4 linked regions of the Tamandua tetradactyla genome follow. The protein of the gene in region 3 purifies or fractionates together with the protein of the main gene of each other region. This does not show direct contact. Links are inferred from orthologs where the notes say so. Each region holds a gene or a part of one and is shown on either strand. Other genes may lie near its edges. The genes, in order: HAT1, ASF1A, NASP and ASF1B.

Region 1 (7,812 bases), on a different chromosome or scaffold from region 3:
TCTTTAAATAGCTAAATGATCTTGAATCCAAATGACCTCAAGATCCTACCAAAACTAATTCATACTAATAACAGAACAATTTATATCTAAACACTTTTTGTGAAATTCCTACTCTAAACTCTAATGGGACCATACTCCCTGGTTCTCCTCCTTCTCCTTCCTACTTCAATTGTGGATAACACTTATATATCAGTCCCTGATCCTCTGCCCTATTTATTTTATAATTACTTCCCCTAATTACAAGGTTTCATCCACCACCTATGCAAATTTGTATCTCCCCAAATCTGACTTAGTAGGATTCAATTATTTAGCAACCAAATTTAACCAAAAAAAAAAAAAAAACACTCCCAAAATAGAAGCCTTGCATTGTCAATTCACCTCTATGCTAAAAATGCCAAGTTCATATTCTTTTCTCTACTTCCACATTTAATACCAAATTTAATGAATTGCTCCCTTACTAAGTACCTGGCATTGTGTTTCCTTTCCATTTCCCCAGCCTTCAGCCACTCCAGGTCATTATCTCCCAGTACATAGTTTCAATAGCCTCTTAGCTGATCACCTTGCCCATTTCCAATCTCTCCACTCTTTATCCAACCTACACAAAGAGCTGCCAGAACTCACCACTTCAATTTATCCACTCAGAAACCCATGGTGCCTTCCTACTGTTTCAAATCTAAACCCCTGGGCCACCTGTTCTAGATAGCACAGTAAAGAAGCACTTTGGTTTTTTACAAGACCCTAGGTGACAAGATATTTTCTCTAACTTTTTAGCGAAATACAGTTGCCATTAGCTCCTTCCATATTTCGGTCTCTCAAAATTCACCTCCAGTTTCAAAATCCTACAAGCAGGGCAGGCCACACTGGCTCAGCAGGCAGAGTTCTCGCCTGCCATGGAGACCCAGGTTCTTTACTCAGTGCCTGCCCATGCAGGGGGATGCGGGGGGGATTCTGCAAGCAGTATTCCGTGAGGGTTGAGTATGGGTTCTGGCATTTGATTTGAATCTTGCCTCCACCACCTAAGAACTAAATGACATTAACCAAGTCATATAACATATCACAGCAATAATAATTCTACCCCACAATATAAGGTTGCTTGGAAATTAACAAAATATCCTTAAAGCACCAGGCCAACGTCCAATATGCTGTAAATGATTAGTAAATGTTAGCCATTGTCATTATTGTCATATGGCCTCTCTGATCTGGGAAAGTCGAATTGCTTGCTCTACAGTAGGCCATGCATATTTGCCCTCACTATCCTTGACTCCTCAACCATAGTCCATTAGAGTTGGAAGGTACCTCAGAAAGGAGTTTGTTCAATCACCCGTCCCTCTCCATTCAAGTCTGGGTGCAATCCTCCCTTCTGGTTGTTCAATTTGGTATCTTTTACCAAACCAAATACGAGTGCATGGCACACAGAAAATGGTCCTTAGTAAGTTATTTGAGTAAATATGTTGAGTGCTAAAGAAATATGTAGTAGTATTTCTCTCTCTGCTACCCATAAAATATTAATAAACCATATACATCTGTAACAAACTTGCTAAACAATGCCCTATAGCTTCAAGCAGCTAGAGTTTGAAGAAGTCAAACAAGGAATAAAATTTTAATTTGTTATATGGTGGCTGTTTCAGTTGATTCAAACTATCTTGTATATGGTGCTGCTTTATACCTTCCTAAAGGTAGGTATCTGTGTCCTATCCCTCTCTTATCTGTCAATAATACCTAGGTCAACACTTAATTAGTGCTAAATACTTGATTATGAATTCCAATTTCCATATATCCTTTATGTCCCATTGAGCCTGATAGGAGAAGCCCAGAAAGGCTAGATAGTAAGGGTGCAACAACCAGATCGTGGCAGAGCTGGGAACTGAACCTAGTGCTCCTGACAGCTAGGCTGGTGTGCCTTTTACTGTATCGTGCCACATCTCAAGTTACTTCTTCTATGCATATTCAATCTAGAAAATAAAATTAACGATATCACATGAACTTCTCACAAAACAATTACATATAGTCATATGATGTGGTTAGTACTGACATATTTTTAGCTGTTCTCAAGATTCTTATGGGGAATAAAAGTTTCAAGCCATAAATGGAGCCTTTCTATTATAACTACTTTTTGGAAAAGGTGCTTTCCTTATCAGATTTTACAAAATTTAAGATCGCCATTTTCACTAATTCTTTGTCATGAACTACACATATATATGGTCATCTATGCAACCTCCCCAACAATAACTTAAGTATAACCACATGTCTCAGATAAAAATGTCATCTATTCCAGGCTCATCAGCATATGTTAGAATCTGTTCCTAATATAGAATCATAGACTTTTAGAGCTGGAAGGAACCTTGGAGATCGCCTCTCATTTTACAGAAGAAACTAAGGCCAAGCAGAAACCTGCTCAAGGTCAAAAGGTGCCTACGTAAGAACCCAGATACAGAAAAGAAAGCTCTCAAAAGAAAAATCAGAGAAAAACACAATATGTAATGAAACACTTTAGTTTACCTCCTTTTAAATCTATTTCTTTAAAAAAAAACTTTTATTTTGAAATAATTTCAAACACAGGAAAACTATAAAGATAATGCAGAAACAGTATATAAAACCCCAACATACACCCCAGGGTAAATAGATTTACTATCTATTAGCATTTTACCACGTTATATCAGTCTATCTCTAACTTCTAAACGTGCGAGAGTAAGTTGCACACATCATGTTCCTCTAATACTTAACACTTCCATGTACAATTTCTGAGAACAAGGACACTTGCTTATGTAACCAGCTTAAGCACAGCTATCGAATTCAAGAAATTTAACATTGATATATAAAGCATACAGGCCATATTCCAATTTTTCAATCATTCCAATAATGTCCTTTTAAGCATTTTCTCCTCCATTATCAGCTCCAGTCCAGGATTACATATTACATTTAACTGTCTCTCTCTCTCTCTCTCTCATTTTAATTGTTGCAAATTTATACAACATAAAATTCCCCATCTAAACCTACTTTTTAAGTACAACTTCCTAAGTAGGAAACGTCTGAATTTTAAGAAAAGAGAGCAAAGTAAAAAACTAAGCCTCAATCTTCTTTTTTTTCCAATATCTATAGCCAAGTCACTGATACTAAAAGCTGAGCAAGTAGAGGTGGATCCTTGCAAGCATTTTAGAGAGTAGTATTTTTTAACAAAGTCCCAAAGGCCTATGAATTTTAATGTAAATAAGTAGAGGGGAAAACAAGGCACACACAAATTAAAAATAGCTATAGCTATAATACTCTTACCTCTATAACACTTTACATGGTGGATTGCTTATACTTAGGAAAACTTCACAAGCAGGCAACTTTTAATGAAGGAAGAACCGTAGTCACCACACAAGAATGCCAATACATTTTGAAATTTCATTTTAGGCGCTGCTTAAGGAAAACTGGAAATTCTACTTTTTAGTCCTTTTCTTTCCACATGTCTTATACATATAAAGAAAAACAAAAATTTGAGGAAAATATTTTATCAAAACTTGATAAAAAGGAAAACCTTTCATCAAAACCTTATTATAAGCTATGCTGTCTAGCCATGTTTGTAAGAATGCACAAAAATAGACCATTCCTCAAAGTTAAAGCCTGACAAGAGATAAAAACTTACACAGTTGCTGTGTGAACAAAAAGCAGGTTACAGAAACCAACTTACCTGTAAGAATATGTTTCTTAACTCATGAGGATCACCTCGCTTGGTTGTCTGCACCTGTAAGACAAAATTAAAAGCCCGTTAATGCTTCACTAAAGACCTATCTCTTCAGACTAGAATTCACATCTCCAACAGTGTTCTTTTATTTTTTATAATGGCATTTGGTTTCAAACAAACCAAAGCACTAACTGCTGAAAACAGCTGTCAAATTGGAAATGCATGACTGCAGGGCAGAATGACAGATGTGACAAGCATAACATATAGCAAATCGATGGGCAAGGCTTCTTCTGAACTGGAAAGGGAAGGCAGTCAGGATCCATCTTTACTGCCCATCTACTAGCAACACAGTAGCAATCACCCACCTTCAAAGCAAGAGGCTATCAAGAATGGAGCAACAGGAAAGTTAAAACACCCAAGTTAATCCCACGGCCTATCCGGTATTCTTCCAGGTGGAAAGCAATACCAGCACATAATTATCTCCGCGCCCCCCTCTTTCCCCACCCAACCTAAACTATGAGAGATGCTACAACGTTTCCAAATGCTTTCCACATCCTGCAACCTGGAGCCTCAATGAGGACCCAAATTATTCAATTGCTCGCCCCCTCCCCCACCACAATACATCGATGCCTTAGGCATCCCGTGCTTTACCAGCCACTTCCTCCCACCCCGCCTCCGACGCCGTTCTACGCCGGGCTCACAGACCCATGCACTTAGGGCAGAACACTACTCTTCCTTTTCCAACCCGTGGTCCTCACTAGCCGGTCAAACTCCCAATCCCTCCTCCCTCCCCTCCCCCAGCCGGGCATCCTCTCGCTCCGGTCCAAACCCCGCACAGCTCCACCACCCGCGAACTGGAGCCCCAGGACGCGCTATCTAAGAACTAGGCAAAGAAGCAAATGGAAAGAGGTGGAGAGCTGGAGGGCGGACCCCCGGAATGTCTCATATGCAATAAAGACAGCAGCAGAGTTGGAGTCACCTTGACCGCCATGCTGTGCTCGGAAGCCGAGGACGAGCGAGTGAGCGAGCAGGGCCGAGCTGTCAGGGCGCGCGCGCGCCGCCTCCTTGGCGGCGCCCGCCCTCCCTCCGCTCGCCGGCGCCGCGCGCGTCCCCATGCAAATGAGCTCGGGGCGGGCGTCGTGGGAAGTGGGATCCGCGCCCGGCCGCGAAGGGAGCTGGCCCGGTGGCCGGCGAGAGTGCGGGCCGGGCGGAGGAGGGCCCCGCTGCCCACGGGGAAAACTGCCCGGCGAGCCCCGGGATGCCGTGTCGCTGCGCATTGCAGACAGCTGAGCGGCCGCCAAGTAAGCCCAGGTTTTTTAAGGCCTCTTTAGTGGGTGTGGTTTTGGGCGCCAAGTTCAGCCTAAGTCGTTTCCCGCCTCCCCCCCTCCCCAAGCTTAAAGGGCCACTTGGGGCCTATGTTGACTCAGGTTTCTAAGGATCAAAGAGCACGTTCCATTAATAATAATAATAATAAATGAATTGATGACAACTGATTGCAAATATTGACAACAGAAAGATTGGCAGCCCCTCACACTGGGGACAACCTAAGTAAACATTACTGGAGAAATATGCCCCTAAATTGGCATGAGATAAATACACCATGTCTTTGCTTCTTGTACTATTATAATGCTTTATTTAGTAGTAGTAGTCTACTACTAATAAAGTAGTATTCACATACCACATTCCCAGTCACACAAATCTTTGGATGAGGTATAAATGCATACAAAAAACTGTTTTCTTTCAACAAAGTTGGAACTAAATCCTAGCTCAAATTGTCCCAATGTGAATAGAAAGTAATTCTCCATCACTACCTAAATGTAATACCTCTACCCTGAACCAAAATAATGTTTCTAAAACTGAATCTTGCCATTATGACTGTATTGAACTATAGTCACTCAACAAACACTGGGATCTATTAAGTGCCAGACAGTCTTGCTTGTATGGAATTACAAAGATGTAACAGAGTCCCTCCTCTCAGGAGCTTACAGATGGTCCACGCTTCTCCACATCCCCAATTTCGAGTGAATTTCCACTAGGCAAAGGAAATAAAAATGCAGAAAGAGGAGTGGCAAATGGAAATTGTGGATAAGGGAATGCTGTATTACTAGAAGTACTCCCAAGATGAGCTTTTCTGATGCAGTTGTTTCAATTGTCTACCACGGTTACATCTTTCTTCAATCTGTTCAAAGTGCTTTGAACAATGTAATTGGATGTTAAGATGGGATTTTTTTAATTCATATTTTGTCCAACTAAGACTTTATGCCCCTGATACTCTGCTGTATCTTATTTTATGAAGTCTCTCTAAGTAGGAATTTCGAGCATTTCTCCTGAAAATGTTGCTGTTAACCAAATCTGTATTGTCAGAGTGAAAATTTAGGGTTGGACTGGCCACTCCTACCAAGGAAGAAAGCTTACATTTAAACAGAGTACACAACAATAATTAATAGATTTAGGCACCAAACTGCAATGAAAATTTTCTTGACTGAAAAACAATTGATCTTGGAGCAAGTTAAAGGGCTTCATTGGTACCTATCTAGTTGCAATGGAGATGACATGACAATCTAAAACTAAATAAGGCTGCCATGTGGAAAAGAAGAAGAGTATTAAATAAATGTGAATTTTGCTAGATTTTTTCATCTATCCAAATAAAATGAACAGCAATAAACAAAGATATTAAACGTATATGCTATAGGAAATGCACTAAGTGTTGAAAGACATACAAAAGCATAAAAGACACAGCTGCTGCCCTGAAAAACTTTGGAATCTTTCATTCTGTTGTAATGACTGGCTATTAGTATTAGCAGGAGTTAAACCAACTTTAAATTTACCTTTGTCTTAATTGTAGATTATTGTAGTTGGGGAAAAACTTATGATTTACTGCAAAACTAAAAAATCTGTCAAGTAAGATTCATAATATGTTTGAGAAAATGTAGTGGAAATGATTCAAAATTTCATGAGTTTTTAAAAATTACGTGTCAATATGGTAATTCAGAACTCTCTTTAAGTTGCAAATGATATTTGTAAAAAAAGAATTAATTGTAAAGCTGTGGACAACTTTAAGTTGAAAACGTGATGATTAAGACAGCCTAGAAAGAATGGCATTTCAGAATGCAAGATTGGAAGTTAAAGGCTGAGACTAGCTGCAATTGTATTTTCATTGCTGACCCTATAAAGCAGATGTCATTAATAGTCATTTTTTTATAGTTGGTTTCATAAAAGATTCAATATGTACCTTCGCGGAGCTGGGAATTTAAATCTTCCTGTGAAGTTGATGTCCGTGAAAATAATGTATTACCCTCAGATGCAAAACTGAAACGTGGGGTTGCTAGACAAATGCATAGAAACAGTTCTCCACTTCCCAGGCAGCTCACATTATATTTAGTTTGAAACCATCCAGGTGCCTTGTGGGTGTAAGTTAGAATTATACTAATGTCTAATGCTCTATTAAACTAAAATACAGTTATTAAAACAAGAGGCAATTTCCAATGACTGTTCTGCCACAACTCCTGTGTATCTTCTAGCTGCCTCTGATTATTTTACTGACATAAATATATTTTTGTTCCTGTTCCTTTATCCCACACGGCAACTATGGATGCCATCTTGCAAGAAGTAAATGAGGGTGGGACACAAACATTTGGTAGAGCATTAGAATATCACTGACTAATGTAGTTGAGAAGCTCTTCCTAAATTAAAAGTAACACACATCATCACTTTGATGAACTAGATTTTATGTCCCTTATCAACATAAAGCTGATAAAATAAATAGCATGATCTGACTTCGACACATATGCACAAAATATATTTGAATGTTTGGAACTTGCAAATGTAGATTGGTGTTCTAGTCTGCCAAAGCTGCCAGAATGCAACACAACAGATATGGATTGGTTTTAATAAAAGATTTATTTAGTTAAAACATATAGTTCTTCAGAGGAAAGGCAGCTAACTTTCACTTTAGGTTCTCTCTTACACGAGAAGGCACAAGATGATCTCTGCTGACCTTCTGTCCAGGCTTCTGGGTTCCACCAGCTTTCCCCTGGGTGATTCCTTTCTGCATCTCCAAACACCTGGGCTGAGCTGCAAGTGCTGAGATGAGGTATACTGAGCTGCTTGGGCTGTGCTACACTGAACTCTCCCTTTTAAGCTTC
Region 2 (7,016 bases), on a different chromosome or scaffold from region 3:
CATGTGGGTCAATGAAGACACGTACAGGCTTGGCGACCTTGGGTTAAGCACATCCAGGGTCTCCTAATTCCCAGGCTGACAGGGCAATCTCGACTGAAATCTTGAATCTTACATTTTTTGTAACTGACCTACCCCTAGATATGAGCCTTATATTAAAAACAAACAAATTACTTTAAAAGCAAATACTCAAGACTTTTTCTAAAGTAGCTAAAATTATTTATAAAATGAAATTTTTTCTTCAGAACATTCTGTAGTTTAATTTCAAGTATAGATTTTATTTGAAAGAACTACAGTGTAAAAGTTTGTAGCCTATAAGGATCCTTTGCTTAAGTAAAAATTTCCCTAATCCACACAGCCTCTAGGTGGAGTACACAGGCATGGCACCTTTTTTGAAAGACTCCTTCAGTATGACTCAGCTTAAAGTCTTTTAAAAATACTAATAAGTGCCCAGTAATGGTGTACTCAAAGTGAGGAGAACACGTGGCAGTAGATGTATTCTTGGTATCAGTATTGTAAAAACCCTGTGTGTGATTCACCTGGGCTCTGAATGGATCCAAAAATGGAAAACAGTTCCACCTCCATGAGTGGCGGGTTTTAACCATCCAACATAACAGCCCTGAAATGACATCCTGAACTAGCTTCCTTGTTCAGAGCTAATGTCTAAAATGGAAGGCATCCCTTGAAAATTCCAGTAATTTGAAGAATTTCTAATGCCTAAAAACTGTAGTGTAAGTTGGAATGGACTGATCTTATGGTTTCTCTTTGCCCATTTTTATATATACTTGCCAGTAAAAAGGCGAAGTTATTGACTGCTGGGTATGAAAAATGGGCCTAGTAGTTGAAATGCTCCTAGTTGTATTATAGGAGAGTAATCAAGTGGTGTCTGAGTAATACGTAAAATACCCTTTATTTTATCACTGGACCTATTTAGAGATTAGTTTATTTTAATGAAGAGATAATCTTTCAAAATATACCTTACAAATATATATATATATGCTTTATATCTGTATTAAAACTCTGTGGAAAGGCATTAAAGTATACATTGTGATTACCTTAAAAAGTGAAATGGGGGAAGACACCGGGTATAGAAAACTGTTACTTTATATATGTCTTTACCATTTTTAAAAACTTATTACAATGGGCATATATTGCTTTCATAATTTAAAAAGTTAACACCCTACATGAAATACATTTTATAGAGATTAAAAGTTAATTTTTAAATGAATTAATGCTTCACGTGCCATTATTAGCACAATTGTTTTAAATGCTTTTTGTCAAGTATACATGTAAGTTCAAAGAAACGCCCCCTATTTAATTGTAAAGTTAACATTGATGAGGTTAACATTTTTTCAAACTTTGATAATAAAGCACTGGATTCATTTAATAAATTCAAGAAAGGTGAAGATTAAGACCTTGCTAAGTTTTAGCTTTCTAAATACGTATTACTATACTCATGTTAAAAAGAAGTTATCTTTTTTAAAGACCTTAAAACGTACTTAAGAGAAAACAGTAAAAATGTTTGCATCGCCATCAGGACTTTACCTTTTATTTTCTAGCCCACTTTTGTGTTTTAAGTTCAGGGTGTATTCTGTATCTGTTTGGATGTGGAGTTATTTTAATTTGATTTCAACACGTTCCTGCAGAGTCTTCTTTCAGACTATTTAGAAGCCAGTGATTAAATGTCCTGGAAATTTATTTAAATATTTTTACACATTTCTGCTCTTGGGTTAAATGTAACTTCCTAGCTTAGAAATGTTTTTCTTCCTGAGAGAGAGGAGAGAAGATTTTAGTCACCGAGGAGCAGGGTTCGCGAGGGTCGGGCGAGCCTGGCGCGGGCATCCCGGGGCCGCCGGGAGGAGCCGCCGGGAGGACGCGCCGCCGCCGGGCCCGAGGGGCCGAGCCCGCGCCCGCCTCCCCCGCTGGTTGGTCCAGGCAGCCAGAGATCAGCGCGCGGACAGCCTCGCTCTCCTCCCCGAAGCGGCGGGCATGGCCACCGCGAGCACAGGGCGATCCGGCGCAGCCTCCCGGCCCGCGTCTGCCTTCCGCTCGGGGCAGGAAGGTGGCAGGCGGGCGCCGGCTCCCGGGCCGCGGCCGGGTGCGAGGAGGCGCCGTGACGCCGGGGTCAGCAGCCCCAATTCGCTGCTCCCGGTAAGATGGCTCCGCTCCGAGCTCGCCGGCGCGGCCTCACGCCCTCGCCTCTCCTGCAGCCGCCGCCTCCCCGGGTCGCACAGGCAGCTCGCGGGGCCGGCCCGGCGCGGCTCCCTCCCGCCAGACAAAGCTGGCAACATGGCTCCCTCCGCTCGAACAAGTTCCTCGCAACTTGCGCCTCGGCTGCGCCGGCCGTCGTCCCTCCGCCGGGAGTTTGCCGCCGCCGGGCGCCGAGCACCGGGCGCCGCGAGGCCCGGCCCGGGAAACTTTCAACGTCTGCAGCCGCAACTGACAGCCCGGCGGGCGGCGCCGCTACTCACCTTCAGACAGGTCCTCGATGCACTCGAAGGTGATCTCGAACTGGAAGGGGTTGTAGAAAGGAGAAGGGTTATCCAGCACCACTACATTGTTCACCTGAACCTTTGCCATATTTTGAAAAAAACACAAACAATGGAAACCGGGGCTGGTTGCGGCACAACAAAGTCTAGCGCGCGGCCGCTCGGAGAGCGCAGACCCCCACCCGGCGCGGCCCGACGTCGTGCAGCGGCGACTTGAGAAACTTTTTTTTCCTCTTTTTATTTACACGGGAGCACTCCACAGTGTTTTGCAGCTTTCCTATTTCACTAAACTACAGCCCATTCTGCTCTGATAACTAGCAGCGTTGGCCGCGATTGGCTGCACCCGAGCTCTGACCCTCCTCCTCCAGCGAGGGCTTCAGCAGCGAGCAAGATGGGCTCCCGCTCCCGAAATGAACTCGGAAACTTTAACTGCGGCTCCACCTGCTGGTGCGGATTAGGACAAAGGCGGAGAACAAAGTGAGTGGAATACGGGCTGGGAGGCCCGCGCGGAGGCCGCCGCCGGCGGGGGGGGAGGGGAAGGGGGCCGAGGGGGAGGGGGCGGGGGCGGCGCAGGCCCCGCCCTCGGCCCGGCGGCTCCCGCGCCTCACGTCGGGCGTGGCCGCGGCGGGGACGGGAGCGGGTGTTGACTGAAGGGGGCGTGGCCACGGCCGTGGCCGTAGGGGCGTGGCCTCCGGGCGGAAGAGGGCGTGGCAACGGCAGGAGGGCGCGAACCCTGGCGACGCCCGCTCGGGTCTGCTTCGAGGCTGTTTTGCTTTGTTTTGTTTTGTTTTTTTGAAAAGGCGTACTCTTTATTTGTATCTAACGGCCCTGCCGACTCTGCTGAATTTAGCCTCTGAGATTTAGTTGTGTACACTAGCGCAGATCAGCTGTCCATGTATCGGGTAGTATTTGGAATAGAGAGAAGGGTTGGTTGCAGTGGAAATAAATTGTATTTTATCGATTCCTGCCAGCTCGAAAGGAGGAAAGCCATTTTGGAAATCTAACGCTTGGCTAGTATCGGCTTTGGGGCACATAACGGTGTCTTTAGTTAAATAGTCACAAAACAAAAGGCGAATAGGCGTTTTCCCACACACACACGTCACTTGAAAATCTGAAAGGCCAATCTTTGGGCTGCACGTGGGCTTTCTTCCTCCCGCTTGTCATCAGGAAAGTCTTAGAATGAAACAAAGGTTACTAGAGATGTGACCACCTACAGTTTTATGCCATTTATGGGGCTTAAAAGAAGGAAAAGAAAGTGTCAGGAGACTGAGGGGCAACAAACGTAATAGAGAAGGAAAGAGTGGAGAACACAAAGGCTTACCAAGACATTTGATCTTCAAAAAATTTAGGAATCGTTAGTAAATTAAAAAATGAGTGGCACCACAGACAAGTTCTGAACCCTTTGCCTACCTGTAACCACTTCGGGTTTGAACTGAGAAACCTCAGTTCGTCTGTGTTACTTGACTACCATTGTGGGGAAAGGAGGAGCTTTTACATTTGTGAGCCTGCTGGACTGTTTCTGTTTAACAAGTAAGAGAGGTATAAAGGGTTGTTTAATTACCTGCTATTCATAACCATCATTTTCCCCCATAAGTTTTGTGAATGAAACCACCAAACTTGGCTTATTAAATTCAGAGAGAAAAATATTTCTTAAGTATCGTCGATGCTGAACGAGTTTTCTCTTGATGTAGTGGCCAGAATTTTGATTTCTCATTCTTCGGATATTGTTCAGGCGTGAGTAGGTCACTTTTGATAAGACTTCTTCACCTGAAGCTCTTTGGAAAAGTAATGTGGAACAGCTTATGCCAGGCCTCTCCACATTAAGGAAAACCAGTTAGACTAGAGATCCCATTTTACTTTTAATGGATTAAACTGCCAAAAATAGAACAGGTTTCCTCAACCCATTTGTGATTACCATGACTGATAAACTCTATACTCTCTTCACTCTTATTTGTGCTTATCGTCACACTAGCTAAGATAAAGGGCGAACTGCTGTGTGCTACTGTCAGATATGCCGGGTATGGAGCACGGAATGACCATTTGAAGATTAAAATATGACTGCTTTTGGAATGGGGCATGCAGTTGTCTGATTATTGCAGGTACTTTAAGAGAAGATTCTGATTTACTTGCTTTAGAAAAATGATATAAACTTCACAAAATGAGGTGCATTTGGTAGTCTGACCATAGGTGTGTCATAATGAGACCAGTCTTACCACAAAATTCGTTCTTGGAGGATCTGTAGTATCAAGAATTGAAAAGATCTATTTGGTTAACACTAGTTTGGTTTGGCTTATTTTCTTTAAATTCTTCTTCCAACATGATTTATGCTATAGCGTGTAAGGAGAAAAAAGTCCTCCCTAATGGTTCACTGGAAGCTGCAAGAATTAGCTTCATGCCTCTTATCCTGCTTCTCTTGTCTTAACTCTTTCATTACTGCTGATCAGAAATTTTACAGTCTTTGATTTGAGCACACTTCCCAATAGTTTTCTCACCAGTGACAGTACCTTACAGGAAAGACTGAAGGGATTCCTCAAATATGCCTTGGCATATTTCTAAATTTTATGGGCATGCCATGGGGAAAAATTGTAAAAACATCACTCTGGTTTGAGAGGCAGTCAGTAGGACCTGTTGGATGTCGTCGTGATGACTCTTGAAAAGCTAACTGTATTTAAAACAGATGAGTCACGTTGAATATCTTCATTTATTAAATACAAAAGGGGGGCCACATGATGCTTGGAGGGCTGCATCCCCAAATCTTTTCTCTCTGTACAATTTATTTGGGAGCAGGAACACTGAGAGAGGTAGTTTGGGATGTAAGATGAACAAAGCTAGTGTCTAGGACATAAATAAGTGAACCTACATTAACTGTAAAGGTTCTGTTTTGTTTTTTGTTTTTGTTTTTCCCATCAGAATGTAAACTTAAATGAGAACCTGTACTTATTTATTTAATCCACATATTGATCAGTTATCAAGTGCCACTTCGGTGGGAACACTGTGGCCGTTCTTCAGAGGAAGCACCTTGGGCACGCTGCTTGCATTCTGAAGAGACAAGATGCAGCCTGTTTCCATGGATCCAAGGCACAGGGTATTTAAAAATTTGAAATTTGAAGTCAAATTGAGGTCACAGGACAAGATGAAATCAAAGTTATCAAAGTTATATTTTGGGCTGAATCAAAATATACTAGAACTAGGAATTAAATCCATCTCATTCCCTGCATGTTGTGGAAGTTATAAGAATGGAAGCCCTAATCTCTTGTCTTTGTTCAAATCCTAATTTCTACCTGAGATAATAACATATGGCTGTGTTGAATTCTCTTTGGATTTGTATTATTGTCACTGTCCTTTTAAAAAAAAATTCTGATGTAAGGGCTTGTTGTAATAGCATCTTTAGTTACTTTAAAAGCCTCCCTATTATTTATTAGTGACATGATATCAAATTTAATGATAGTTTTAAATAAAATTTTCTGTGTAAGTGAAGAATATAGAGATTTCCTTGAGAAAATCAAGTAATTTTGACACAGAGTAGAAAATGTCAGGCATACCTAGACAATTAAAGTTCAGTGAGAATTTTGTATTTATTATATTATTTTTATATATTTTGGCATAATGTTTTCTTTACTATTTGTCAAGAACTTTTACATAACTTGTGTATTTTGAGCCTCACAACATTCTACTATGGTAGGAAGAGAAGTTATCATCATCCCCACATAACGAATGAGGACACTGTTGCTCAGAAACCCACTTCTCTAACTGCTGATCCAGTGCATCCCTACTCCACTTTCCATTGGCTCAAAAAAAATTTAAAGTGACCTTGATGTGTAGAAAAATAGACTGGTATAATTTCCTGAAAGATCCCCACAGCTGGCAGATACTGGTTATTGGTTATGACTCTACTGATGAACTCTTGAGAAACAAAGCTGGAACATTGGCCTAGGTCCTAGGAGTGAAGGAGACTCCTCTGAGGTGAAGCTGTGGGATTCCAGGCCCCCCACAGGCAGCACGCTCCTGTTGTAGAAGGGATGCTAATGGGGAGAGCTATACAGCCTGGAATGCATCTGTATATTTTTATAAGGTGTTGGTGTCTTTTGCATAAAGTGTACTCCTCTGCCTCCATCCCCCCAACACGGTCTCACCTCATTAATAAAAGTATTATTGTTTTGTAACACAAAACAGTGAATACTATTTTGTGTTCATTGCTGCCCACTATTAGTTTCAAGTTTGCTGGTGCTGTACGCTGTGTCTGACCCCTGATCCGCAGCTGAGCTACACTGTTAAACATTTTCTGGATGTCTGTAATTGGTATCAGTTTTATGAAGCACTATTATGGATATTGTTGACAGTTTGTTAGTATAATATCATTAAGTTGTTTTCTAGCCTAGAAAGATTTGAATGGAAATGCCTAATAATTTTTTGTTTCTCGTATCTAGTTTTAGTTTTGTTGTGTTTTTAGTCCTTTATAAATCAAGCTCTTTTTGGACTCATTTTCTTATTAAACTGTCTCCACCTGTAGCCTGTCTCACTTCATGATAC
Region 3 (7,018 bases):
TTTTTTTTTAAAGGAAGGAAAGACAGAGAAGGAAGGAAGGATGGAAGAAAGGGAAACATTTTTAAACATTTTCTTGTTTTATTATATTTTGTTTGTTTGTTTGTTTTTTACATGGGCTGGGGCCGGGAATCGAACCGGGGTCCTCCGGCACGGCAGGCAAGCACTCTTGCCCGCTGAGCCACCGCGGCCCGCCCTCTTTTTTTTTTTTTAACTGGCAGAAAATCCCTTTAGTATTTCTTATTGGGCTGTTCTATTTTTGACAAATTCTTTCAGGATTTGTTTGTCTGTGAAAATTTTAATCTCTCCCTCAGTTTCAAATGGCAATTTGATTGGGTACAGAATTCTTGACTGGAAGACTTTCTCTTTTTCTCTTAAGATTTAGGATCTTAAATATATCATACCATTGCCTTCTCACCTCCATAGTGCCAATTGAGTATTCTGAACTCAGTCTTATGTGGTTTCCCTTGTATGTAGTAGATTGTTTTCTCTCGCTGCTTTCAGGATTTTCTGTTTCTCTTTAACATTTGACTGACTGGTTAGTATGTGTCCTGAAGAAGGCTTATTTGGATTTATTCTATTTGGAGTTTGTTGGGCTTCTTTGATTTGTGTGTTCTTGTCCTATATAAGGGTTGGGAAAATCTCCCCCATTATATCCTCAACTAATCTTCCTAGCCTTTTGTTCTTCTCTTCTTCTGTGTCATCAATGATTCTTATATTTGAGTGCTTTATTTTGTCCATCATTTCCCTGAGATCCAACTCAAATTTTTCCATCTTTTTTGTCATTTGTTGTTTTGAGTGTTTGAAATCAATTTGTCCTGTCCTCTAGTTTGCTTATTCTTTCTTCTGCCTCTTCCAATCTGTTGTTGTGTGTCTTGAGTATATTTTTTATTTGGCCTAAAGCATTTTTAATTTCTGTGATATCTGCTATTTTGTTTTTTCAAATTCCTCTCTATGCTCTTCTAGTTTCTTGATCTTCTTTATGTAATTAGCCATCCTATTTATTTTATTTAGTAGAATTATACAAACTTCTTTGACTAGTTGTTCCAAAGTGTGTGTCTCTTCTGGTGTTTCAATTTGGTCATTAGGCTGGGCTGTATCTGTCTGCTGATATGCTTAATGATCTTCTGTTGCCTTCACCACATATAAATATCTTGATTGGTTTACTTTGTAAATTGACTTCCTTCAGTAGTCTAAAGCTTTGAATTTGCAGGATGGACGTCGAGCAGAATGTGGGGCACGACAGTGAAGTAACTTGTTGCAGCACAGGTATAGGCGCAGGTTAGGAATGCTGGTGCCTTTGAGTATGAGGTGTGTGTTGGGGGGCTGGTAGAGGTACAGTGCAGGGGCTGTGGGTATGTGGTGCAGCTCAGGTCAACCTTGGAGCACAGGAGCAGGTTGTGGAGTGGGGGAATCAGAGGTAGAGTCCTCCTCGTTCATGCACTCCTGAGGGTTCCAGGCTTCCATTTAGAAAGGGGTGTGTTAGACAGTTTGCACCAGTTGGATCGTCTCCAGTTCTCTGTATCTTCAGCTTTTGTAACCAGGGCCTCCCTATGTGGTGTAGAAGATCTTTCTGGGTCACTTACACCCTGAAACAGTTGTCCTAGTCACCTTCCCATCCCTTCTCTACCTGTTCCTTGGAGTAGGGGTGAACTTGACCTATCCTATTTCACCATCTTCCAGGAACCCTCTATTCTGCCATCTTCCCAGAACCTTGGGTCCAGCCCTTTTGCAGTTATTTTGTGCTGTCCGACTCAAAAAGCCTTCAGTGTGTTTGTCAATCATGTTGTTTGTTTCTTTTCTTATTATATATATTCCCCCCCCCCATTGGATGCATGGGCCAGGAAACGAATAAGTAATCTTCTTTCTAGTTCTAGTTATGATTATATTATGATTGCTTTATTTATTTAGGAAGTTCATTTGGATATCTGTTGTATGAATGAGGATTTAGCTATAAATAAGACACAAAAGATCACGTGAAGCCTATATACTTAGAAGGGGTTATAATAAATACAGAAATAGTAACTATAGATATTGATCAGTACAGTGAAAGAAATAAACTAATTTTGATTGAGTGGTCAGGGAAGGCCTTTTTGGAGGTAACATGTGAGATGAGGTCTCATTTCAAGTACTGGCCAAAGAGCTTTCTAGGTAGTGTGGTAGGAAGACACTGGAGTTAGAAAGGGTTTGGATAGTTTGAGAAACAGAAAGGAGACCAGCATGGTTGAAGTATAGTGAATGAAGGTTAATATGAAATGAATTTGGAGAGGCCAGAACATGTAGAATCCTTTTTAAATTTTATTTCATTTTTAATCATAATTGATTTATTGATAATAATCTAACTGAAAAATTGTAGTTGATAAAACTTTAATCAAAACATGTAAAGAACTACATACTTCAAAAACTGCAACAATAAAAGACAATTTATGGTACCTTAAAAATAAGGAATATCTAAAAACAACCACAGAGCATCTACTATTTATTATACAATATGAAATTCAAAGCTAATCGTCGTCATTCTTCTGTATTTTCCCACATTTGAGCTAGAACTCTTCTCCCTACTTCACTATGTTGTTATATAATCCTTTCAGTTTTAACACTTAAAATAACATGTAGGTTCTTGTAGGCAACGATAAGGAGCTCAGTGTTTCTTCTAAGAGCCATAAGAAGCTATTGAAGGGGAGTGACATGACATGACATGATGTACTTTTTTTTTTTTTTGCATGGGCAGGCAATGGGAATTGTACCCAGGTCTCTAGCATGGCAGGTGAGAACTCTGCCACTGAGCCACCATGGCCCACTCCATGTACATTTTTAAAAGATTTTTCTGGAGAATGGTTGGAGAGGGTAAAGTGGAGACCAGAAGTTACGCAGTACTACAGGCAAGGGATTATGGTGACTAGGCCTGGATTACAGTAGTGGAAGTAAAGACTGAGGGAAGTGGATGAATTTAAAATATATTTTAATATATTTTCAAATATATTTATCTTAATATTGAGTTCCTTAAAGGCAGAGACCATGTCTTTTGTCCCTGGGCCCAGAACAGAGCCTTTCACATCATAGGTGCTCAGTGAATATTCGTTTAACAGATAATGGATTACACAAGTAACTGGGCTTGTGTTAGGCCTGAGAAAAAGCCCTGTTCCATTCCTCCAGCTACCATGTTATCAGACTGTAGTGGTAATTTGTGAGTGCTTAGCACAAGCCAGACACAATGCGACTTGTTCTAGTGAGCATTAATTCTAATTTTCACAGTACCCTTAAAGGTGTATATTAATGTTGAATCATTTTGCGTTTAACTTTAGGGGATTAAATGTATTGGCTCAGGTAATTGTACAAATAATTGAGGAGCCCACGTCTGTTTACCACGAGAACTGGCACTTTCAGGCCCAGCTCCATAGCCTCAACGATTTCAAGCCGCCTGAGCCTTGACAGACTGAAATAATAATCCTCCCTAGGTATATTTCTCAGCCAGCGTGCAAGATCCTGGACGGAAAGAGAACCTCTGTTCTGATCACTGGACACAGGGCCGTGGTGGAAGGGACTTGATGATGCCCCAGGTGGAGGAGCAGCCATTTCATGCTGCCTGCTACGCTCCACTTAGCCAGATGCGGGAATGGGGTTCACTGCATTGTTTTCAATGACCGACTTGTCTTGCAACTTGCTGAGGAAGTCACACCTTCACTGAAACTGGGTTTCTTTTTCTACGAAATGAGGCTAATACCGATCTCACAAGCAGTGTTGTTGTCGAGATTTAAAAAAATCAGCTAATAGTTTTAAAGGATCTAAGCACAGCACCTCCGCACTCAGTAGGAACGCGATAAACCATAGCTCTAAGAGTGGACGTGAAGACTTAGAGCCAATCTGATTTGGAGTTTGGGTAGAGCCTGAGGATGGCGTCAGCGGATTGGGCCAGCCGAAAGGGGCGGGTCCGGAAGGAGGAGCCACCCGCTTCTCGCGGTCACTTTGAGCTTTGAATCAAGCGCGGTAGCTTCAGCTGCAACCAATCCTAGAACTGTATTATGTGCGTCAGTTGTTGCTGCGGCTCCAAGCCACGCGTCCCTCACTAAGATCAGTTCTAGCCGTTGCAGCTTTACCGGTGCTCCGCTCTTGCGTGTCCATCCGTTACGACCGAGAAGAAGGACAGAAGGTCTCAGTTACCTACCCAAGTATCCAGGGCTGAAGGAGACCCTCAGCTACTCGCACTAAACATACAGAGCTGCACGGGCTTCCCCTTCTGCCGAAGCCACTGGCTGGCGCCTTGTCAGGAGTTGTAGTCCCAAGATTCCGATTCTGCTTTTACACGACTTGCTAGAGAAGGAGGAAATTGCACTTTTTTGGGGGAAAGCGAGCCTGGGAGGGAAGGTACCCCACGGAGTTATCCAGCGGAGGTGGGGTTTCCTACGGTTAGACAAGGACCGAGCCCTGGCCCTTTAAACTCGAAGGGGAGGGCCCGGAAGTGGATGGGCGGGGAGAAGGGCCCTGGTATATAAGAGGGCCCCAGCCGCGCGGGGTCTCCAATCTGCCATTTTCTATCCGTGTTTAAGTGTCTCGCTTCCCAAATCTGTGTTTTCCTCACAGGCTCCATTCCGCCCGCTGGTACATCGCCTCAGGGAAACGATGGCTGCAGAGTCCACAGCCACTGCCGCCATCGCTGCGGAGTTGGTTCCCGCCGACAAGTAAGCGGGACCGTGGAGAGCTGGAGGCACTGGCCAGTACGCGGGGAGGGGGTGGCGGACAGAGGTCCACGGGAGGGACAGACCGGTGGTTGGAAGTACTTCCCATGAGGCGCCATAGCTCCTCGGGGAGACCTGAGCACTAAAGAAGCCCATGTTTACTGAGAGCCTCGCGCATTAGCGGTAACGCCTGTCGGCTGGCGCCCCCTGCCCCGCTTTTCGCAGCCGCCATCTTGCCGGGGGCATCGGCGGCTGTCTCCATCGCCTGCCCCTCTCCTTCCTCCCCTGGCCGGGGGCTGTCGGCGGGTAGGCGGGGCTCCGGTGCGCTGTCCTGCCCTCATTCCCCTACTGTCTCCGCACTCCTGGCGCGCGCCTCGGGTTAGCGTCTCCAGGCAACCCGGGAAAATAACCAACAGAGATTTGGCGCCAAAAGAGAACCCTGCACGAGGAAAGAAGCTGGGGTCGGGAGTGGGCGGACCCTTCGGTGGGCGGGGTCTTGTGTGCGTAAGTTTGCTTCTCCGCCCTTAGTGGAATAGGGGGCGGGGCCCCGAGGAGGCGGGAAAACTCCATTGTCTGGGGTCGCGGCGGCTTGGAACTAGAGCGTTGGACTTGCCGCGGTGGGGCGCGGTGATGCTGACTCCCCACCACGCTTATCTTGTACTCTGGCGCTCTCGGCGAGCCCCCACCCCTACTTGTGGTAGGGAGCATCGTGTTTTTTTTAGACTTCAGAGGTGTTGGTGGGAGACTTGGCTGCTTCGGGGAAACATGATCCGGATGCGAAGCTGTGTGGCGCTCTCCCAGTGTTTAGTTACTAGGTGAATGGGTAGTAAGTAGTATGCACCGTATGAGACCCAGAGGCAATGATAGACGATGGGGTTGCTTTGAATGCGGCAAAAGTGGCACTCTAGCATAAGGTATTTTATGAACATTGAAGGGAAACACCTTAAGTGCTGTTTTCTGTTTAGTAGGTCTGACAACAATATTTCCTTTATTTCTTAGAGGTCTGGTTCTAACTTTCTGCACTTGCTTTCTGTAATTGCTTCCCTTACAGGAAGAAGGCTGCTATAAGATTTTTATGATTGAATCTTTGTTATTTACATCACATACTTAGTATATTTATAGCCACCAGCATTTGTTTATCTCTGTGCAACCTACCAATCTCCTTTTGAGTGGTTTCTTTATGGGGTTTTTGCAGAACGATGGTTCTCAAATCACAGATACAAATTAAATTTCAAACTGTTTCCTGACTTTCCCCATTGATTCAAGACAATTGGAATAGATTGGGCTTGGGAATCATATCTATTAAAAAAAACTTCTTACGTGAGGCTTTGCAGGTACTTCTTCAAGAATTCTAGCACTTATTCCAGTTACGGATCTGTGCCCCCCAATCTTAAGAAAAAAATATATATATATATTTTTAAAGATAAAATCATGGAACAAATAGCTCTTGCAAATTTTCAGGTGGTTATCTGTCTAACCAAAGTTATTGACCTAATCTCCAGCTTCCTAGCATTAAATTCCATTGTGGGAGTCCTCTTCAGGGTTTATCCATTAAAATGAGTTTTGAGAAGAGCTCCAGGTCTAAACCTTAGGGGCGTCCTTGATCCTTTCTGTGCATTGTCATGTCTTCCACATGTACATGTGGTCCTAGGAATTCCCCCATTTAAACTGATAAAAATGTCCTCTCTTCCTAGGAAAGAGTTCCTCAAGGTGTCTTGGGTACTGCACTGTATGTCCTATAGCCACATTCTCTTTGCCCAGATAGCATGACATGACTGCTGTTCCACAGCATTCTGCAGGAGAGTTCATGAGCTGCTGTGTCAGGGCAAGTTCTGGGATGGTGAGTTCCTTGGGCCACTGCTAGACAGATTGGGCTAGAAGTATAAAGCTCCTAACATGTGCACTAGTGTTACTCCTTCTGGAACAGGGACCTGGAATCTGTATTCTGAGTGTGGACTGACTGGTCTCTGAGCTGATGAGGGTTGGGGGAAGGCCTAGTCAAGGTATCAGGAGATCCTACCTCTTTTAAATAGCCTTTTAAAATTGATTTGATGCAGGCCCTGTTTCTGCACGCCTTAAAATTTTTTTCTGGAGTTTTGAGGAAGATGTTTGCCAGTTTTTACTGGTTAAGAGCTGCTGTGGGGGGAAGGAACACTGAAGTATTTCACTCTGCTATCTTGATGGGGCGGGGCTCTCAGTTGCTGTGCATGCGTGTGCGTGCCTGTGAGAGAGAGAGAGAGAGATAGAGATATGGGGGCCTGGGTCTCCCTCATTGTGGGCGAGAATTCTGCGAAACTACCACTGCACCCTCTCACTCATTTGTGATACCACTCTGATCACTTAAG
Region 4 (7,933 bases), on a different chromosome or scaffold from region 3:
CCAGCAGTTTTATCACCATTTCTTTTGAGCTGTCAGTGAAAATATCAATACTGAGGAAAAGGCAAATGTCTTAGCACTATTGTGGAGAAAAAGTTCACTTCATAGACCTCCTAAAACAGTCTGGTGGAATTCCAGGGGACCACACTTTGAGAACCATCAGACTGGTAAGTAAATGGAACTGGACAATGGTTTATGCATGTGGGAAAATATTAAATCACAGGCCTACCTCACATCATGAACAATAATCCAAATTGCAAGGGGATAAAGCGAAATACAAAAAGTAAAACTTCCAAAAGAAAATATATTAGGCTATCTTTTTTATCTGAGAAGCTTTTGTTAAGCAAAACACAAAAAACATAAACCACAAATACACTGGTAATTTTGATGAATTAAAATAAATACTAATGTTTTTAAAATTCTGAACATCAAGAGACACCATGAAAACGAAAAGGCAAGCCTCCCATGTGAGAATTCCTGTACTCAACAAGACAAAAACCAAAAACAATCGTACAGAAAAATGGGCAGAGACATGAACAGGCAATTCACAGAAGGTAAGTGTTCAATAAACATGAAAACAGCTCAACCTCACTGGTAACCAAGGTTTAATGCAAACTGAAACAGCACTAATTTACACCCATCAGGACACAAATTAAAATGCCTGACAATACCAAGGGCTGCTAAGAACATGTAGCATTAGACACACTCACATGCTGCTGATGGGAATGAGAAACGGTATAGTGATTTTGAAGAACAAATTGGAAATATCTAGTAAAGGTGAATATTCCCATAACCAAGGGCCCAGAATTTCAACTGTGGGGATTAATAGCCTAGACAATCTTCTACTCCTTGTGCACAAGGAGACATGCAACAATGTATACCACAGAGTTGTTTGTAAGAGTCAACGATTGGAAACCACCAAAACATCAACCAAAAGATGAACAGGTAAGGAGAGTGACAGTCATAAGAGAGTACTGGGTAACAACACTGCCCGAAACACTTCTTGTGATGATGGAAATGTAGTCCACCTATGCTGCCCCAGAGCGGCCACCAGCCACAGACTGCTACTGTCACTTCTAATGTGGCTAACCAGACTGAAGAATTCATCTTCTCACTTTATTTCATGTTAATTAATTTAAATCTAAATTGTCACAAGCAGCTAGTGGTTACCATATTGAACGGTGCAGCTACACAGCAGTAAAAATAGATTAAAGCTACATACCTGTTTCAGCACAGATGAACCCAAAAGCATTGCGTTGGAAGAGCAAAGCAAATTGCAGAAGGCAGGGCCAGGACTGCAGGCAAGTGAGGTGTCTAGGGCGGAATTTAAGGAGGTACACCCACAGGGACACAGGAGTACCAGCTAGGCAACAGACAGGTCCTGAGAGCACGTGCCTCTCTAAATCTTACAGCCCAGGTGCCTTTCTTGTCTTGCCCTAGTCCTAGCCAGGTCTGGATGGAAAATTATGATAGTGTATCAGGGGTCCCCAAGATCACCCTTAGGTTCGGTGTTCCAAAACTAAGAGAACTCATAGGATTTAGCATTCAGTCATGCACACAGTTACGATTTCTTAAAGGGAAAGGATACAAAGCACAATTAGCCAAGGGAAAAGGCATCTGGGACAAAGTTTGGAGGAACCCAGGCACAATTTCAGAGTCTTCTCCCTGGTGGAGTCACACAGGACATGCTGAATTCCTCCAGCAATGAGTACTGATGACACGTGTGAAATGCAGAGGGAAGCTCATTACAGATGCGGAGTTTGGGGGGTTTTACCAGGGGATGGGGGGTGAGGATGTGCGCAGATCACATACTGGCACATACCAAAACTCCCAATTCCCTGAAGGACAATAGGTGTTCAACAAACCACACTGTTGATACAGTTTTAGACACAATGAGCCCCTCTTATCATTTAGGGGAATGGTGAGAACCCTCCCGAAATTCAAGTTCTCAGATGCCAGCCAAGAGCCGACCTTGCAAGAAGGCCTTTCTAAGAAGTATCTTTTTTTACATGGTTACCATTTATGTAAAATTGCCAAAAATGAAAAACAATGCCATATATTGTTCAGAGACACTTGCATATAAAATAAAGATGCAATCTGTCCTGTAACTACTTGTTGAAGAGTGCTTTGAAAACTAAAAAAAATAAAAATAAAAATATACAAAAACATGTACACAAAAATTTATACCAAATTCAGGGCTGTAATTACATTGGAGGGATAAGGGAGAATGGGTTTGAGGTTAAGGTAAGCCCTTTCATGGCATCTCTTAACGTTTTATTTCTTAATCTGGGTAACGGGTAGAGGGTGTTTTGTTACAGTATTCCTTATATTTTGCGCGTGCTCCTGAAATATTACAAAAGGGCTCATCTGCATATTACTATAGTTCATGCTTCCCACATGCTTCTCACACTCCAGGTATACGCTAAAGTCATTTATAGAGATCTCTCCTCCTGAAGACACTGGGTGCCCATACTAAGGTCTGGTAATAGAAATTGAACAAGCTACGGTCCCAGCCCTCAACCAGCTTTCAGTCAACTGAGGGATGAGACATACAAGCGCAATTTAAAAACCAGCATAAAGATTCAGATCATAAAACAGGGTGATATAATTGAGGAAAGACTCCTTTAAATAGGTTGGTCTGTGATGACATCTCTTTTAAGACTTCTGTGCTGAAAACATAAATGATGAGAACAAGAACACAGAGCAACCACCAGTGAGAGTACATTTCATGTAGAGGGAAAAGTAAAAGCAAAGCCCCAAGGCAGAAACAAGCCTGGTGTGTGGAAGGAGGGAACACAAAGCCAGCAGAGCTTGAGAGTGGTGACAGAGTGATAAACGAGTCCAGAAGTGACGCTGAGGCCACTGTGCAAGAACTCCAAGCCCTACTGAAGATCTTCAGGCTTGATCTAAGTTTAAGCCTCTGAAGGATTTAAGCAGAACAGCCTGAACTGGTTTACATTTTAAAACCAATCCGCCAGGTGTCTGGGAACACATTATAGACAGGACCACCTTCTCCACCGGCACCACAGACCTAATGCTGGCAGCTGATGACCAGGGACGCTGGTGGTGGATGGGGTAAGTGTCGTCGATATGGTCTGGGAAGAGAAAAGTGGGTTTACACCTCATCCTAGAAGGCTTAGAATACCAAAGGAGGGTTTGAACACTATCAGAGGACACGTGCAAAGATATCTCAAAGCAGAGGACACTTGAACTGAGCCCTGAATAATGAGAAAATGCCAGGGTTCCAAGCGCTGGGAGAAGAGGTTAGGGCAGAGCCTCTGAGCTGGGGACCACTTGTGGAGCTTCTAACGCACAAAAAGAGGATGGGATTGGCTGGATGGAAGTTGGGACAGTAGGAAGTACGTCAAGCACGTTCTCGCCCCTGGAATAAACATTCCCACTTCAGGCAAGGGAGGGGCCTGATGTAATTTATTTTAGTCCTGCTCTGACCCATAACACAGCAGCGCCCGAGCACTGTGAATGTGGCTCTTGTCACTGTGGCACTGAGGTCAGGTTATTGCTTGATTTTAACGAGCTAAAGCCCAAACTGAAAAACTGATGCCTGATTTGGTTGGTGGATCTGAACAACTGGGGCACGTGAAACTACTTTTTCAGCTGCCAACTGGATGAAAAGTGGAGCTCGATCAACACAATCCGGTGAAAATTTAGTGAGAATTTAGCCTCCCGATTGCAGATAGGCTGCGAGGAATTTCCAAACCTTCTTTCTTGCAGAACACGAGATATTTTATTAGTATTTTTAACCAATTACTCGTTGGGGTAATATCTGGGCCTGGTTGAATTAAATAAGGGATATCGTTAAAATTAATTTCCCCCATTTCTTTTTGTTCGCCACTTAATTAAAAAAAAAGATAAGTGGTTTCTAAAAAACTGTCGGTTTGGGAAAACGGCGGGCGTTGTTTTTCCCCTGGACAGCGCCGCTGGAAGCAGAGGGGGTGGGCGTGGAAGCCTGATTCTCCCCGGCCAGTGGCGACGGCGGTCTGGACCTGACCGGGAAGTGGAGAGAAGTTTCTGGAAGAACTGCGGGGTCGTGTCCGTGCATTATTTGCACGGGCTCAAACCCCGACCGGTCTGACTCGCACCGACGACGGGGCGCTCTGAGCACCGTCTATTAGAAGCCGCTCCCCGGGCGGCGGGCCCCGAAGGGGCGACAACGGGATTCAAGCCGGGCGCCGCTCCGCCTCCCCCGGGGGCCTGTCAGCGTTCACCATATTCACCACGGAACCCTCGGCCGCTGGGCCTGAGGAGCCTGGAGCTCCTCACAGAGGCTCCCGGCAACGCTCACCCGCAGACGAAGCCGAGGTGGCCGCGCGCCTCCTCGTCTCCCCTCACGACCGACGCAACCGACTTCCGGTCCTATCTCGCCAATCACGAGACGAGCTTTCTCCTCCCGCCTACCGCAGTCAAGCCAACCAATCATCTCTTAGAAAGCAAGCTTTCGTTTTTGTTTTTTTTCTCACCCTCTCCCGTCTGTCAGTCACCACGGAAGCGAGCACCGCCCTTTCCGCTCTCTTCAGCGAGTGTCGCGCGCCCCCGCTTGGCAGTTGGTGGCGATGCCCTCCACGGGCTGCGTGCCCCGGAAGGACGGGGCGACGAGAACGCCCACCACGCCTGTGCTGGAACCCTTGGGATTGGTCAGCGGGAGCCCCGCGCGCTGACTCCGCCCATCTCCGCCCTTAACGTCCGCATCGGAGACGCTGGGGATTGGTTCCCCACTGGGGGGGTTGGGTTAACATCCTCAGGAGCCAAAAGGTGGTCCCGCCCCGCGACGCGCACGCCGGGGAGGGAGTTCCGCTGATTGGTCTAGGGAATCGCAGCGCGCGCCGACTGGAGTTCCAGGATTGGCCGAGGGCGGGCTCGCGCCGCCGGGGAGCGTTAGCGGTGATTGGCCGGAGGGCGGGGCCGGCTATTTGAAGGCGGCGCGCGGATGAAGCGCGCACTTCAGTCGGCTTAAGGAGGTTGAGGAGGTGTCCGTGGGAGGGCTGCGCTCTTGACCCCGGCGGACACGGACGCGGCCCGGCCCCGGCCCGACGATGGCCAAGGTGTCGGTGCTGAATGTGGCGGTGTTGGAGAACCCGAGTCCTTTCCACACCCCATTCCGGTTCGAGATCAGTTTCGAGTGCAGTGAGGCCCTGGCGGACGGTGAGGCTGGGCCTGTGTAGGGCCTCCCCCCCCCCCGGCCGGGCTGACCCGCACTTCCCGTCAAGAGGCCCCCAAGGATCACTCCTTGGTAGACCACCGACGTCCCGGTGAAGAACCCATTCCCCCTACCAACCCCCTCCCGGCCAACCCCAGTCTCCCTGGAGGGAAGCCCCCAAAGCCAACCCCGACGTTCCCGTGGAAATCCCCCACCGCCAGCCCCTACCTCACCCGCCCCGTGGGGACCCCCGACGGCCAAGCCCGACCTCCCCCTGGAGACCTCCCAAGGCCAGCTCTGGCTTCTACTGCCACAGGGTCTGAGCAGGTTAAAGAACAGAGGCTGAGAGGGTCTCTACGTAGAAAATGGGTGGCTCGGAGGACTCCCACAGAAAAAAGACGGTGGTGATAAGGCCTCCACTAGAGGGGCAGTTGTAGACCTTGAAAGGTCTACAAAGACCTTTCAAGAAAAGGGCTGTAAAATTCTAAAACCGAATGGCTAAGGTCACCCAAGAAGCCTTTTAACTAGCTCTCAGGCAAGTGGTGCTTTCAGGAGGAAATTCTCCCCTTAGAGAACTTCTCCGGGTGATTAAACAAAAAGCAGCAGCAGTTGAGGGGGTGAAAAATCTGTAAACCCGGGAGGCGGGGTCTACTAAGGAGCACCACTGGGTGGCTGGTGGGCACTTTGCCTATAAAGCTTGCTGCTGGGATTTGCTTGTAGCTGATGCTGTTTGAGATGCATTTGCCCTGGGATGAGCCAGTAGGTGAGTCTCCCTGGATTTTCTTCTTTTCAAATTAAGGAGTCTATGTGTGACTAGAGAATCGGCTAAGTTAAATCCCTTTTGGAGCAAGGCAGGGTGTAAATAAATAAATAAAGTGTAGAATGACACTGAGGAAGATTTCATTTTAAAGCCAGGAGGAGCTATAAGGAGCTAGCGGTTTAAGGGATTCGCCAGTTTAAGGGATTCGCCTTCCCAGATGGCAGGATATCAGGTTTCATTCAGCCGATTGTGCTCCTGGAATTAAAAATGATTCTGAGGTCCTTATCCAATACTCTAATTCCTAGGAAGCTCCTACCTATTGTTTTTTTTCTAATCTGCATATGGAATCAGGGCAGGAAAGGCCAAAGTCAGCAAGCTGATTTTAAATTTCTTAGTAGAGGGACATGGAATGACTCCTCTGAAGTGACAGCAAAGGCAGTTTGTGGGAGTGTTGGGACCATGGTGCGTCTCTGAGTTCTGAGTGCAGGGCTCTTCCTCTTTGCTCTTATCCCAGTGGTAAGATTAGAGGTGACACATAAACATGAGCAGCCGGGGAATTTATTGCCAAATCATGATTCTCAAAACAGAGACGGGGGCACTGGTATAATTACAGCCAGATGATAGAGCTTTTGTTCAGAGAAGCTCAGATTGGAAATCCTGTTCTGGCCTGGAAACCCAGACCCTCGTTCCACCCTAGGGCCGTCGGTGACTTAGACCTGCAAACCTGCTTTCTGCCTCTTCCTAGCCTTCTTCCCACAAAGCACAGAATCCGTTTCCTGCCTCCCAAACAGAAGCCCTCTCTGAAATCCTGGAGAAATCTGTCAGTCTTGTTACCTCTCAGTACCAGCAAACTGAAAATCCGATGAGCTGTACAACTCCTAGTTGGTTAGCTGTCCCATTTCCTAAGGGCTCCAGACTCCTTCTGCTGTCTTTCTCAGCATTTGGAAGTGGACGCTTCCAAGGTGTGGGTCCCCATTTAATACATTAGATGTGTTCCCTGCACCCTCTTGAGAAATTCAGCGGACACTGGTTGAATAAGTCATAGAAACCAGATGTTCTGACCCAGAGCTGTGGCAAGGCCAAGGCTCATCTCTGTAGCTATGAACAAAGACAAAAGGTAAATAGGAAAAGGCCTGCTAGAGGTGCTAGATTAAAACAAAAACAACTGGGGAACAGACACTCCAGCTAGTTGAGCTATAATGATTTTTTATGCATCTTTAGCCATATTATTGGTTTTAGTTTTGTTTTCAGGGATAACAGAGGTCCATCTTAGGTGTGGCTTAGACCGTAACGTTAGGGTATAAAGACACCGTGATACATGCACTCAGATTACCCTTGAAGTTGCCCATAAGGTTAGGTACCCAGTGTTGGGGTGGGGGGGCGTAATTGTGCCCTGTAAACTGTAGATGTGGAGGTGTGTGTGACTTTGTCCCACATTTCATTCTATTCTATATTCAGAATTGAAATCGTTAAAGTACATCTCTGCTTGAAACCCTTTTCAACAAATTCTAGTTTGTAGGCCCTGCTTCAGTCATCATGTCGTTGGTAGATTCTATCAGATTCTCTAACTTTGGCCCTCAGTTAATTCCTCAGTTTCTCTGGACAGCGTTGAGGGAGCCTCAGTGGGCTCACCTCATGGTATGTTTTCTCTCCTACTCAACACCAATCCAGTCTTTATGCAGGTTTTGCTGACAATTATTGACTTCAGTCAGACAACATCGAGCGCCTGTTGTATACATTGGGTCCAGCTCTGTTTTGGTCTCATTGGCAAATGGACATATATAGGATCCCAGTGGTTATGGGGCAGGGCAGAAGGAAATATACCAAAGTTAAGAGTTGGGTTTGGGTAAGTGAGATCAGGGCTAGCTTGTTTTTTTGTTCTTCCCCCAAATTTGATTCTGGTGGTGTCACTGATTCCTACCAAAAATAAGTTAATAGAGTTCACTTTCTCCTTGCAAATAAGGCAATGCTGGAGATTGGCCCCTACTGAGCCAGAGTGTTACCCAGATCCTTCAGACCTG

The links.
Region 1: the proteins of NASP (region 3) and HAT1 purify together in Homo sapiens (affinity purification with mass spectrometry; 3 studies listed by BioGRID and IntAct, with this or other methods). This does not show direct contact. The link is inferred for Tamandua tetradactyla from reciprocal best matches to the Homo sapiens genes NASP and HAT1.
Region 2: the proteins of NASP (region 3) and ASF1A purify together in Homo sapiens (affinity purification with mass spectrometry; 6 studies listed by BioGRID and IntAct, counting the BioPlex papers as one, with this or other methods). This does not show direct contact. The link is inferred for Tamandua tetradactyla from reciprocal best matches to the Homo sapiens genes NASP and ASF1A.
Region 4: the proteins of NASP (region 3) and ASF1B purify together in Homo sapiens (affinity purification with mass spectrometry; 5 studies listed by BioGRID and IntAct, counting the BioPlex papers as one, with this or other methods). This does not show direct contact. The link is inferred for Tamandua tetradactyla from reciprocal best matches to the Homo sapiens genes NASP and ASF1B.

What each region holds. Positions count from the first base shown.
Region 1 is NC_135329.1:143,634,350-143,642,161, forward strand, and holds the start of HAT1 (histone acetyltransferase type B catalytic subunit), read left to right. Parts: upstream 1-4,809; 5' UTR 4,810-4,925; coding exon 4,926-4,968; intron 4,969-7,812. Other genes in the region: SLC25A12 (electrogenic aspartate/glutamate antiporter SLC25A12, mitochondrial), read right to left, coding at 3,674-3,727, 4,647-4,658. UniProt on the Homo sapiens protein: Histone acetyltransferase that plays a role in different biological processes including cell cycle progression, glucose metabolism, histone production or DNA damage repair. Coordinates histone production and acetylation via H4 promoter binding.
Region 2 is NC_135331.1:179,705,749-179,712,764, reverse strand, and holds the start of ASF1A (histone chaperone ASF1A), read right to left. Parts: upstream 3,006-7,016; 5' UTR 2,578-3,005; coding exon 2,469-2,577; intron 1-2,468. UniProt on the Homo sapiens protein: Histone chaperone that facilitates histone deposition and histone exchange and removal during nucleosome assembly and disassembly.
Region 3 is NC_135328.1:177,644,344-177,651,361, reverse strand, and holds the start of NASP (nuclear autoantigenic sperm protein), read left to right. Parts: upstream 1-4,007; 5' UTR 4,008-4,094; coding exon of another isoform or gene 4,095-4,119; 5' UTR 4,120-4,147; intron 4,148-4,153; exon of another isoform or gene 4,154-4,403; intron 4,404-4,485; exon of another isoform or gene 4,486-4,578; 5' UTR 4,579-4,617; coding exon 4,618-4,676; intron 4,677-7,018. UniProt on the Homo sapiens protein: Component of the histone chaperone network. Binds and stabilizes histone H3-H4 not bound to chromatin to maintain a soluble reservoir and modulate degradation by chaperone-mediated autophagy.
Region 4 is NC_135337.1:88,724,559-88,732,491, forward strand, and holds the start of ASF1B (histone chaperone ASF1B), read left to right. Parts: upstream 1-4,921; 5' UTR 4,922-5,048; coding exon 5,049-5,157; intron 5,158-5,177; exon of another isoform or gene 5,178-5,915; intron 5,916-7,875; exon of another isoform or gene 7,876-7,933. UniProt on the Homo sapiens protein: Histone chaperone that facilitates histone deposition and histone exchange and removal during nucleosome assembly and disassembly. Cooperates with chromatin assembly factor 1 (CAF-1) to promote replication-dependent chromatin assembly.